3 linked regions of the Struthio camelus genome follow. The protein of the gene in region 3 purifies or fractionates together with the protein of the main gene of each other region. This does not show direct contact. Links are inferred from orthologs where the notes say so. Each region holds a gene or a part of one and is shown on either strand. Other genes may lie near its edges.

Region 1 (3,746 bases), on a different chromosome or scaffold from region 3:
AAAGTGAAGGATGAAGCCTTAGGAAAAAAAAAAACCTTTCTCTCCTCCTACGGAAACAACGCATAAGACCCTGATGAAACAAAATGGGAATAAGACAATTATAAAAAAATTAAAAAACAAAAACAAACCTTGTTTACATAAGAAAGGGCTAACCAGAGATATAACAAACTATCAAAAATTCAAGCAGAATGAGGACAAAGTATTGTCCTTAAGATTGTTTAACCATTAAGATATTTCATACTACAGGGGTGTCCCATTTGAATGGGACAAACAGGGAAGAAGACTCCTTCTAAGCTGGCAACGTGGAAAAGAAGAACAAAGGCAAGATGAAGTATCCAAGAGCAAAGGGCAAAGTGACCTCAGCAAAGGAGAATATGTTTCCAGCAAGATCAAGTGAATCCAAATTCTAACTGCCCTCAGGAAATGCTGCAAATTTTCCTTTTCGTTAAAGCGTTCACATAGCAAAAATTTTTCTCACAACATTCTACCTCTATTTACATCCCCCCTATCTTTGCCAAAAAAATAATGCCTGCAATAATCAAATAAGTACAAAGATAAAATACAAAATAAATAACTTGAAGAGGAGGTTTTTCCTGAAGTGAGAGTAGAATCTGACTCCAAGGAATTCTGATAAAGTTTCATTTTTCAAGGACTTAATTCAAATGCTGCCACACTGTATGTGGTAATAAAACTGAATAGCTAGCAAGATGTGAACACAAGGCAACAGCTGTGATGGCACATTCATTTATTTGGGAGAACATAGGACCTGAAGAAGTAAAATGAAGTATGATTTTTTTTCTCTTTTTTTAAATAATGGAAGACTGACTACCTCAACTTGTGCTTTGATCAAAAGTTACCCGAGACGAGGAAGAGACTGATGAAAAGAACAAATAAGGAAGCAGAAGCCAAACTGAAGAAGATCATCATGGAGGGTAGGGGAGGAGAGGGGAGGTAAGGGCAGGGTCACACAAGAAGCGTTTCTGGCAAGAGAATAACAGACAAGAAGCCCCAGCCTCACTAACAGGAAGAAGATGACATACAAATGCAGATATTTCATGCAAATGCAGATATTCAAGTAAGATGCCACTAGCGGCTCAATTCCCAGTGCAAGTCAGATTTCCTTAGTATCCAAATAACTAATGGAAACCACTTCTACTGTATTCATTCTGGTATAAATTAAAAATTCCAGTGCTCAAGAGGACAGCATGCTCAGCTAGATGTAGAAGAAACACATTCACGTAACTATTTTAGCCACTCTTCTTGATACTGAAGGAAGTTTGCTGGTGTGCAAATGCAGTAGAAAACAGAATGCCTTTTCCTGGGAAAAGGGAAAAGCATTCCACATGCCAACGCCTCCCACTTTGCCTATGCTTCATCCTTTACTATAGCCATCCTAGCTATAGTAATCCTGAGCCAGAACATCTTAATGACTCCACATGTCCACAACAAAACCACTGCCACAAACCTGCACACCAGCTATTTGATTGTCTCTGTACATCTGCCAATCTAGCAACAGACTGCTCCTGCACATTGGCACCAGGTCATCTGTTCACTGTTCTCACAAAAACAAAATGCCACCTAGAAGTCCTTGGCCTTGCAGGTCTCACCATATCCAGGATCTGCAAGTCACCAGCTAGATTCTATGCATCTGGAGTAAGCCTGAATTACAGAGACAATTCTGCAGCCTGCAGTGAGCTCCCCAGATTTCTATGACTGTTGCACAAGAACCTCCACCTGATGTCTTCAAAAAGATGTCACAAGAAGGTGCCAGAATCCTCAAGAGAGAAATCACCCAGGACTATTGGTAACCAAACAATATCTGCATTCTTTTGGACTTTTCAGTAATCTTTTTTTTTTGTTGTTGTTGTTAAATGTATATAAGAAATCCACGTTATAAATGGTGACTGCATTCAACCGTTTGAGAGTCATCTATAAAACACGGTCTCCAATGACAGTAAAACAGGGGTTAGCATTTCCCCTTAAAAGGAGACTGAAGATCCGATTCTTAAACAAAAGCTAGAAAATTTTTAAAGACCTCAAGGATTCCTTTAATTAACCATGGCACCCTGAAATTCTCTTGTGGGTGAGTGCCTATAGACTGTTGTAGATCTGCAGAGCTAATCTCTTCAAGCCCCTGAAAGTCACCTGTTAAGTAGCCAGAGGATACATAAGAGCCAAGTCTGGAGACAAGAACCAGAGGCAGTACCACAAGGCTTCATCAGGCTTTCATCAGAATTGTTTTTCAAAACACAAGTTTGATTACAGAACAAAGTGTCCTACAAGCCCATCTGGGTCAGATCCAGTGCAGATTCTGCACTGTGAACAGGCTCAAAAGAACGCTATTCACTATTCACTATTCATGGAGAATCAAAGCAAAAATCACAGCACACATCCCCCCAGACACAAGCCTGTATTATCAATGAATCAGTACATATTCTGGGGGCTTTGCAGACCCCGGTGCTCTCCTGGCAAGGCAGTTACCAGTGCCCCAAGAGCACGTTTCAGGAGCCAATCCAGCCCAGCACAGAGCCTCCAGTTTCCACTCATCCCTCTATTCAGAGCCAGCCAGCTCACTAACTTTCCCGACTCACCACCCCATGGACCAGAAACTCAAAAAGTTTGCTTTTCGTAGCTTTGCGAGCCCCTCCTGTAACTTCATCTGTAGCCATCAGGGTCTGCTCAGCCTCTCTCACTCTCTCTCTTCCTCTTTCTTTCCCTTTTCTGCCTTTTTCTCCAACTCTCCCCTCTGAGTCCTGCTGGGCTCTCACACTTCTAATAGCGCGGAGTGGGGAGGGGGCCCCTTCAGGGCCTTCCTGACGGCCCACTCGCGCTAAGCCTCAGCTGCTGCATTCCTCCACTGATAAGCCAGAAATAGTTTGTGCTGCCGGGTTCTGTGTGTTTACTCTGCAGGGACAGAAAATCCAGCTTTTTAAACCTCTCTGTCCAAACACCAGAGATAAGCAGGAGGCAAACTGAAAACACGTCTCAGCTTTTTAGTAGCAGCGCTGCAACCTCTCCTCCTCAGCACAAGGGGATGGTAAATTCTGGGGCAAGGGGGAAGGGGGAGGGGGCAACTTCAGCAATGACATAAACTCAGTGCTTCACGGAGAGACTTTTCCCATTAGAAAATGCAGCAGGCAAGCAGTGAGAAACAATGGTTTTCCCTTGCTCCCACTGCTCCTCCTGCACTGCATTTCCAGGCCTTTTCCCCAGAGACCTGGCAGGCAGCACACAGAAACATTCACTGGCAGCGTTTCCAGCACATGAGACTGAGAACTAACCCCTTTGGACGAGAGAGAGAAACAGCAGGAGGCAGAAAGCTGGGAACAGGGAGGGACGTGGTGTGAGAGCGAGGGGAAAGAAAGAGTGCGAGAGCAGCAGAGGAGGGGGCGGGGGGCAGCATGGCGGCGGGGCGCAGCGCCTGCTTCGCTCCTGCCCGCCCGCAGCCTCCCCTCGGCCCGCTCTCGGGCCGCTGCCATACCGCCGTGACGGGGCCATCAGAGAGACCCCAGGTGGCTGACCGACTCCGACACTGCTAACGCCACGGCTGCCATTACGCGTCAGGGCTGGCTGCTGCCGCTCACACAAAGCCCCGCGCACGACAAGGCGCCTGGTCTCGGACCCTGCTGGGGCCGCGGAGCCGCCGCCGCCGCCGCGCCTGGGGGGGTGAAAGCGGGGCGCGTCGGCCCCGGCCCTGCGCTGCCCCGCTGCCGGCTCAGGCCGGGCTTGAGGTGCAGCGGCGGCCA
Region 2 (3,746 bases), on a different chromosome or scaffold from region 3:
CGCTCCGAACACCTGCTTTGATCGCGGTGTTATGGCCGGCGCGGATGGCAGGAAAGCATATGTTAGCCTATTTACACGAAATGAGAGCGATGAGTGACTCCCGGCTGCTCGAGCCAGGCACCCGGGCTGGGTTTTGCAACCTACTGCATGGACGGTCAGGGTAAATGAGCAAGATCTCTCCCAGCCCGAGAATCCTTTGAATCAAGTTACAATTGCAACCGTTGGTTAATGCTCAGATTGGCCTTGAATATGCCGTCTCAATTTTCACTTCAGGGCTCTTCCGTGTTTTAAGGCTACTCAGGTTGTTTCCTCATTTTGTATTAATGAAGTTTACAAGTTGGAAGCTCCCTTGGTTTGATTTTTTTTTTCTTAAGTTTTCATTCATGCAAATAATGTGGCAGCTCTGGAGGTGGTGATCAGTAGAGATTGAGAATCTGTTGCACAACTGGGCTCCTCCATTTCCAAAGAGCATCTGGAAGAAATCGCTTTAAATCAGAAGCCTAGCCTCTTCAAAATAATCACCATGTGCACAAGAGCCAGCTCACAGACAAGCCGCGCATGCAGTGAGAAGCGGAAACTTGAGTATCAGTTAAAATATACTCTTCATAAAACATATTCAGGCAGAAAGTAGAACAATTACACTGGCTCTGGCTTCTCCAGGGCTGCTCACTGGTCAGATCTACCTTCAAGGCACTTGCATGTCTCCATTTTTCCCCCTCAAATTAACAAGCACCTGCTCTCCTCTTCCATCACCTCCTTGTCTCTTCAGCTTCCTCTTGCAAATATGCACCTGCTACTTGGTTATGGTTACCCCTAAATTTGCAAAAGGTGCATATAAACATGTTTCAAGGGAGCTCTGCGCAACAAGAAATGGCTGTGAAGCTGGAGTTGGACATATGACTTCTGCTTGGAGTGGCTTGTACCTCCTCTGCTCCAAAATTGTTTCTTCTCAGCCCAGCAGATGAACAGCCAGCGGTCCCTGAGTCTCACCGCAGCGCAGATAGAGTTACGCACCTTGGCTCCTGCTGGGTGTTTACAGCAGACCCGAACTATCACTCTGCTGCTACAACAGACAAGATTTGCACAGCAATGCTGCCAAATATTCAGCTGCTAGCAACTTTTATGGGGATTTTTAAGCAGTTAGAAACCATGAAGAATAAGGAAAGATGGAGCATGCAACCATTCTAAAGGAGCTGGGCCCACTCTAGTGAGCGCAGGGAGATCTACTACCTGCTGAAAAGCAACAGAGTTGCTCCTGCTGGAGCAGCAGAGTTGTGCTAGGAGATGAAAATCTCAGAGCATTTTCTGGAAACTCACGGAGATAGGTTTGGAAGCAGCTGCCTTCATTTCTTTCCAAAATGATTACTATTCGAAAACACGGGTCTTATTGTGCCTCAGTTACCTCATCTGTAACAGCAAAAGACATCGACCCCTCACTGGGCATTTGCTCATAACTACATTTATTTAAAGGGCCTCAAAAAAAAAAAAAACATTAAAAAAAAAAAATCAGGAAACGCAGCCCTAGTGTGCTGGTCACATTTCCTCCGTCCTAACTGCCAAGGCCATATGCAGAGCAGCCACTTTGCCAACTTACTCCTTTCCCCTGGTCAAAAGCGCCCCCGCAAGGGACGGTGCAGCTGAGAAGCTGCTAAAAAGCACATTCAATCCCCGAGCGATTCTCCACTGGGAAAGCAGAGGGGATCTGGAACATATAAGAGCATGGTTGGATTCAAGTACATTCCTGCAGCATGTTTCATTTGTCCCCCACACACACATTCCCCAAAAGACAAGAAAAAAATTAAAAAAAAATAAAAAAAAGGATATTCTTCCTGCCTCTACCGAGCTGCTAACACGGCACCCTCGGAGCTGCCCGATGGACCTCTCCAGACACCACCGCCAAACAAAGCCATCGAATCCCCACGAGCGCAGGCCAGGCCACGCTTTCAAGCGAAAGTTTGCCCTCCGGCCTCTCCCCACGGCCCCTTCGGGGGGTACCAAGCCCTCATGGGGAAATCACAAAGGGACTTTGGCCAAATTCAAGACAGAGAATTTTAGCATAGACCCTGGGTCCCACGAGAGGAGCGGGACGGATGGTAAACGGCACCTAGGTATGTCCTGGGCAGGGATATCCGTCTTCTCCCAGCTTTGGGCAGGACCAGGCTTCTCGTGAGCTGGTCCCAGCAGCGGGCAGGGAAACAGCTCCCCAGCTGCACCCACCGACGAGCAGGACCTCGGCACCGGGGCCGCTGGAGCCCCCAGAAAGGGGAAGAGGACCCGGATCCGGCCTCCCTGGTGCCTGTGCCCAGCAACAAGGGGCCGAAACGGAGATGCTGCGAGGAACAGGGTGGCCCCAAGACACCTTGTCCTGAGTGGGGCTGGGCTAGCACCCACAGGTGCCTGGGAAACTGTCCCCAGTGGGGCCTGGCCAGCACCCACTACTGCCCAAGGAGTCTATCCCCAGTGGGGCCAAGTCAGCACCCACCCAGGGAGCCGTGCGACGTCCAGTGGGGACGTGCCAACATCCACCCGTGCCCGGTACAGGGCCATGTCCCGAGTGGGGACCAGCACCCACCCGTGCCCAGCGAGCCCCACGGCACCACGTCCCGAGCGCGGCCCCGCCAGCACGCACCCGCGCCTGAGGACCCGCCTCGAGGGGAGCCGCGCCAGCGCCCACCACCCGTGTCCTGGGAGCCCCGCGGCGCGGTGTGGCGGCCCGCGCCCGCGCTGCCTCCGCGGCTCCGCCACGCGAGGGGCCGAGGCCTCACCTGGTACTGCGCGGCGGCCGGCCCCATGGGGCGGTAGCCCGGGGCGGCGGCGGCGCCGGCCGGGGCCGGGCTGGGGCCGCGCAGGATTCCGGGCGCGGGCCCCGGGGGCGGCGGGGCGGCAGCGGCGGCGGGGGGGGGCAGCGGGCTGAGCGGGAAGGCGCCGCGGCCGGCCATGGCGGCGGCTGGCGGCCCCCCGCCCGCGCTGTTTACTCGGAAGCGGCGGCAGTCGGCGGCGCCCAGGGTCGGGAGTCACCGCGCGGCGCCGCCGGGCCCCGCCCCCTCGCCGGGCCCCGCCCCCGTCCGCGCCGCTCCGCCCCCCGCCTCCCCGCCGGCGGCGCACGTGGCCGCGGCGCGCCCCCGCCCCCGCGCGCCTGTGTGTGTGTGTGTGTGTGTGTGTGTGTGTGTGTGTGTGTGTGTGTGTGTGTGTGTGTGTGTGTGTGTGTGCGTGTGTGCGTGCGTGTGTGTGCGTGTGCGTGTGCGTGCGCGCGCGCGCGCACATATGCATGTGCATATGTATGTGCGCGTGCGCATATGTGCACACATGTACACATGTGCGCATATGTGTGTTTGTGTGTGTGTGTGAGTTGTATGCATGCGCCTGTGTGTCTCTCTGTGTCCATATGTATGTGCCTGTGTACATATGTGTGTGCACATGTGTGTGCACGTGTGCATGTGTGTGTGCGTGTGTGTGCATGCACATATGTATAGCCATGCATATATGCATTTGTACATGTGTGTGCACATGTGTATGTACATTATGTGTGCATATGTGTGTGTGTATATGTGTACATATGCATGTTTTGTGTGTGCACGTGTGTCTGTGTGCACACATATGTGCACGTGCCCATGTGTGTGCCTGTGTTTGTGTGTGTGCATACGTATGCCTGTGCGTGTGTGCGTGCGTGCTGCCCATGCACCTGGGCGTGCAGGTGTGCGCACATGTGTGTGAAGGCCTGTGTGTTTCCACGTGCAGGTGTGTGT
Region 3 (3,746 bases):
GCAAGCCGCGGTTCGTTTCCGGGCCGTTTCGCCTTTGCTAACGGTCGAAACGCTGCTCCGAAATGTCTCTTTTTAACGGATTTTGGACGGCCAGGAGAGAAGACGTCGCCGGGTTTATTACAAAAGACCCCGCCGGGAATCGAGGCGTCGGAGCGAAAGCGAGCGTGGAGGCGACGGCTCCCGGGAAACGCCGGAAAAACCCGGCTCAACAGCTGCCAAGTTTTTGAGCGTCGGCCGAGAAGGTTTTCAAGGGGGGGGAAAGAAAAATAAAAAAAAAAAAAAGAGAGAGATTCGGGCCGGAAAAGCTTCGGGTTGAAGCGGGAGGTGGCGGCAGCTCCGGCCGCGTCGTCGCTTCGCTTCGGGGGAAACCGAGAGGGTTTTTTCCGGAGAGGGAAAGAAGGGCGGAAGCTGCACTGAGCAGGGGGCGAAACCTGCTCCTTCCCGTGGGGGGGAAAAAAAAGCGGAAAAAAAAATATATATGTAACTTTAATATATATGTAACCTTGAGGTGACATAGGGCATCTTTTAAGCAGCTTTTTTTTTTTGGGGGGGGGCAGTATAGGGCCTGCCTGGGCCACCCCAGGGGGGTTTAAAACCTCCACCCTCGCAGTGCCGTATAGTGGAGGGCTCTATACCCTTCAAGGGCTCTATATGGCCCCTTTCAGACGGCTATATAGGGGCAGGCCCCCCCCAAGCTTTATAGGCCCCCCCTCCCCTTTATGAAGCCATATAGAGGGAGCCCCAGGCCCAGGGCTCTATAGAGCCCCCCTCACAGGGCCATATAAGGGGACTCCCCCCCACCCTCTATAGGGTCTCTTCACAGCACCATATAGAAATAAGCACTCCTAAAGGGCCCCTCTTAGAGGGCTGTGTGGGGGCAGCGACACCCACCGCCCGGGCTCTATAAGGGTCCCCTCACAGGGCTATACTGGGCAGGACCCTTACTCCTAGGCTCCATAGGCCCCCTCCTAGGGCCATGTAGGATGATACTCCCCCCCACAGCTCTATAGGTCCTCCATTATAGGGGGAGATGGACCCCTAGCCCCTGAGCTCTATAGAACCCCCCCACTGGAGCATACAGGGGGGATCCAGACCCCCACCGCTCTATACGACCCCTCGTAGGGCCATATAGGGGGGATCTCCATTCCCTGGGTCCTACAGGACCGCCTCATAGGACTGTATAGGGAAGGACCCCCACCCCCACTGCTCTATAGGATCACCTCACAGGACCTTATGGGGGGATTGAGATGCCCACGGCACTATATAGCACCTCCTCACAGGACCATATAGGAGGATCCAGACCCTCGCCGCTCTGTAGGACCCTCTTGCAAGACCATATGGGGGGAACCCTACCCCTACAGCTCTATATAGGACCCGCTCACAGAATCCTATAGGGGGATCCAGACCCCCTACTGCTCTGCGGGACTTCCTCATAGCACCATATGGGGGGAATCCCACCCCCATAGCTCTATATAGGACCCCCTCACAGGGCCACGTAGGGGGATCCAGACCCCCACCGCTCTATAGGAACCCCTCACAGGGCCACATAGGGGGATCCAGGCCCCATGGCACTATAGAGGATCCCCTCGCAGCAGCACATAGGGGGATCCAGACCCCCACCGCTCTATAGGACCCCCTCATAGGATCATATAGGGTGATCCAGACCCCCACAGCTCTATAGGACCCCCTCGCAAGACCATATGGGGGGAACCCCACCCCTATAACTCTATATAGGACCCCCTCATAGGGCCATATAGGGGGATCCAGACCCCCACCGCTCTATGGGACCCTCTCACAGGACCTTATGGGGGGAACCCCACCCCCACAGCTCTATATAGGACCACCTCACAGCATCATATAGGGGAATTTAGACCCCCACCGCTCTATAGGACCCCCTCACAGGACCATATAAGGGGATCCAGGCCCCTATGGCACTATAGAGGACCTCCTCGCAGCAGCACGTAGGGGGATCCAGACCCTCACCTTTCTATAGGACCCCCTCATAGGGCCATATAGGGGGATCCAGGCCCCCACAGCTCTATAGAACCCCCTCACAGGACCTTATAGGGGAACCCCACCCCCACCACTCTATAGGACCCCCTCACAGGACCTTATGGGGGATCCAGGCCCCCACGGCACTATAGAGGACCTCCTCACAGCATCATATAGGGGGATCCAAACCCCCACAGCTCTATAGGACCCCCTCGCAAGACCATATGGGAGGAACCTCACCCCCATAACTCTATATAGGACCCCCTCATAGGGCCATATAGGGGGATCCAGACCCCCACCGCTCTATGGGACCCTCTCACAGGACCTTATGGGGGGGACCCCACCCCCACAGCTCTATATAGGACCACCTCACAGCATCATATAGGGGGTTTCAGACCCCCACCGCTCTATAGGACCCCCTCACAGGGCCATATGAGGGGATCCCCCACCCCCACCGCTCTATAGGACCCCCTCACAGGGCCATATAGGTGTTCTCCCCCCACAGGACCCTATGGGGGAACCCAGGGCCCTTCAGCGGAGCCTCCCCCGGCCCCGGGCCCTGCGCGGCGCCCCCCGGCCGCCGACCCCGGCCGCTCTCGCCTTCCGCCACCGAGGAAACTTCGCCCCCAACAACGAGACCGGCCGCCTCGCCCCCCCCCCCGCCGCTTCTGCCCCCCCCCCGGTTCCGGTCACTTGGACTCGCCCGCGGCGAGGGCAGCGCCCCGCGTCCCGCGTCCCGCGCCCCGGCCGGGCCGAACCATTCTGCCCCCCCCCGCGGGGGGGGGGGAAAGGGAGCCACTCACAGCTTGACTACATTCTGTACCACCGCCGCCATCTTCCCTCCGCCGCCTGGGCCCTGCGCCGCCCAGCGCGCATGCGCCGAAGGAGGGGCCGGGCGGGGCGGGGGAGGAGGCGTGAGCACGGGGTGGGGGGGAGCCGCCGCTCGGCGCCTGCGCAGAAAGGCGGGGACGGCGGCCGCGGCCGCGCGGGCATGCGCAGTCTCGCCTCCCCCGCGCCGGCGCATGCGCTGAAGGCAAGGGCTGGCGCGGCTGGTTGCGCTGCTTTGCGCATGCGTCAAGCGCTGGGTGGCAGGGCGGGGCCTTGGCGCATGCGCGGGGGAAAAGGCGGGAAAGGGCTGAGGGGGGAGGCGCGAGGACGAGGAGGGAAAATGGAGGAACGAGGGGGAAAGGCGGGAAGGAGACGGAGGGGTGAGGGGGAAGAGCGAAGCGGGGACGGGGAAGAGCCGAGGGACGGAGCTGGAAAGCGGTAGGGGTGAGGGTGAAGGAAGGGAAGGGCTGATGGAGAGGAGGATGAAGGGTAGCGGGGAGGCAGAGTGAGGGAGGGGGTGGAGGGCTGAGGTAAAATGGAAGAGTCAAAGCCAAGGGTGAGGGAAAACAGGTGTGAATGATAGAAAAGGTGAAGGAAAAAGAAGGGAAAATCAGGTGTGAGTGATGGAAATGGGGGAGGAGAAGAAGGAGCAGGGGCAGCGGGAAGGGATAAAGGCTATTTGGATGGGGTGTAGAGGCCTGGGGAGGATGATGGATACTAGGAGGAAGGATGAAGAGCTGGGGAGGATGAAATGAGGGATAAGAGAGTAATAGGGGTGAGGGAGGGCGCCAGAGAAAGACCACGAGGCAAATGGTGCAGGATGAGGGAGACGAATGAAGGGAAGATGGAAGGATGGAGGTGGAGAGGCATAAAAGGATGGGAGAGTAAAATAAGGGTAGAAAAGAGGAAAAAAAAGAGGTAGGTAA

The links.
Region 1: the proteins of DPF2 (region 3) and SMARCD3 purify together in Homo sapiens (affinity purification with mass spectrometry; 3 studies listed by BioGRID and IntAct, counting the BioPlex papers as one, with this or other methods). This does not show direct contact. The link is inferred for Struthio camelus from reciprocal best matches to the Homo sapiens genes DPF2 and SMARCD3.
Region 2: the proteins of DPF2 (region 3) and SMARCD2 purify together in Homo sapiens (affinity purification with mass spectrometry; 6 studies listed by BioGRID and IntAct, counting the BioPlex papers as one, with this or other methods). This does not show direct contact. The link is inferred for Struthio camelus from reciprocal best matches to the Homo sapiens genes DPF2 and SMARCD2.

Annotation. Positions count from the first base shown.
Region 1 is NC_090943.1:136,433-140,178, forward strand, and holds the start of SMARCD3 (SWI/SNF-related matrix-associated actin-dependent regulator of chromatin subfamily D member 3), read right to left. Parts: upstream 2,902-3,746; 5' UTR 2,670-2,901; coding exon 2,592-2,669; exon of another isoform or gene 2,579-2,591; intron 1-2,578. UniProt on the Homo sapiens protein: Involved in transcriptional activation and repression of select genes by chromatin remodeling (alteration of DNA-nucleosome topology).
Region 2 is NC_090966.1:2,793,810-2,797,555, forward strand, and holds the start of SMARCD2 (SWI/SNF-related matrix-associated actin-dependent regulator of chromatin subfamily D member 2), read right to left. Parts: upstream 2,955-3,746; 5' UTR 2,940-2,954; coding exon 2,766-2,939; intron 1-2,765. UniProt on the Homo sapiens protein: Involved in transcriptional activation and repression of select genes by chromatin remodeling (alteration of DNA-nucleosome topology).
Region 3 is NC_090976.1:844,102-847,847, reverse strand, and holds the start of DPF2 (zinc finger protein ubi-d4), read right to left. Parts: upstream 2,882-3,746; 5' UTR 2,828-2,881; coding exon 2,796-2,827; intron 432-2,795; exon of another isoform or gene 1-431. UniProt on the Homo sapiens protein: Plays an active role in transcriptional regulation by binding modified histones H3 and H4. Is a negative regulator of myeloid differentiation of hematopoietic progenitor cells. Might also have a role in the development and maturation of lymphoid cells.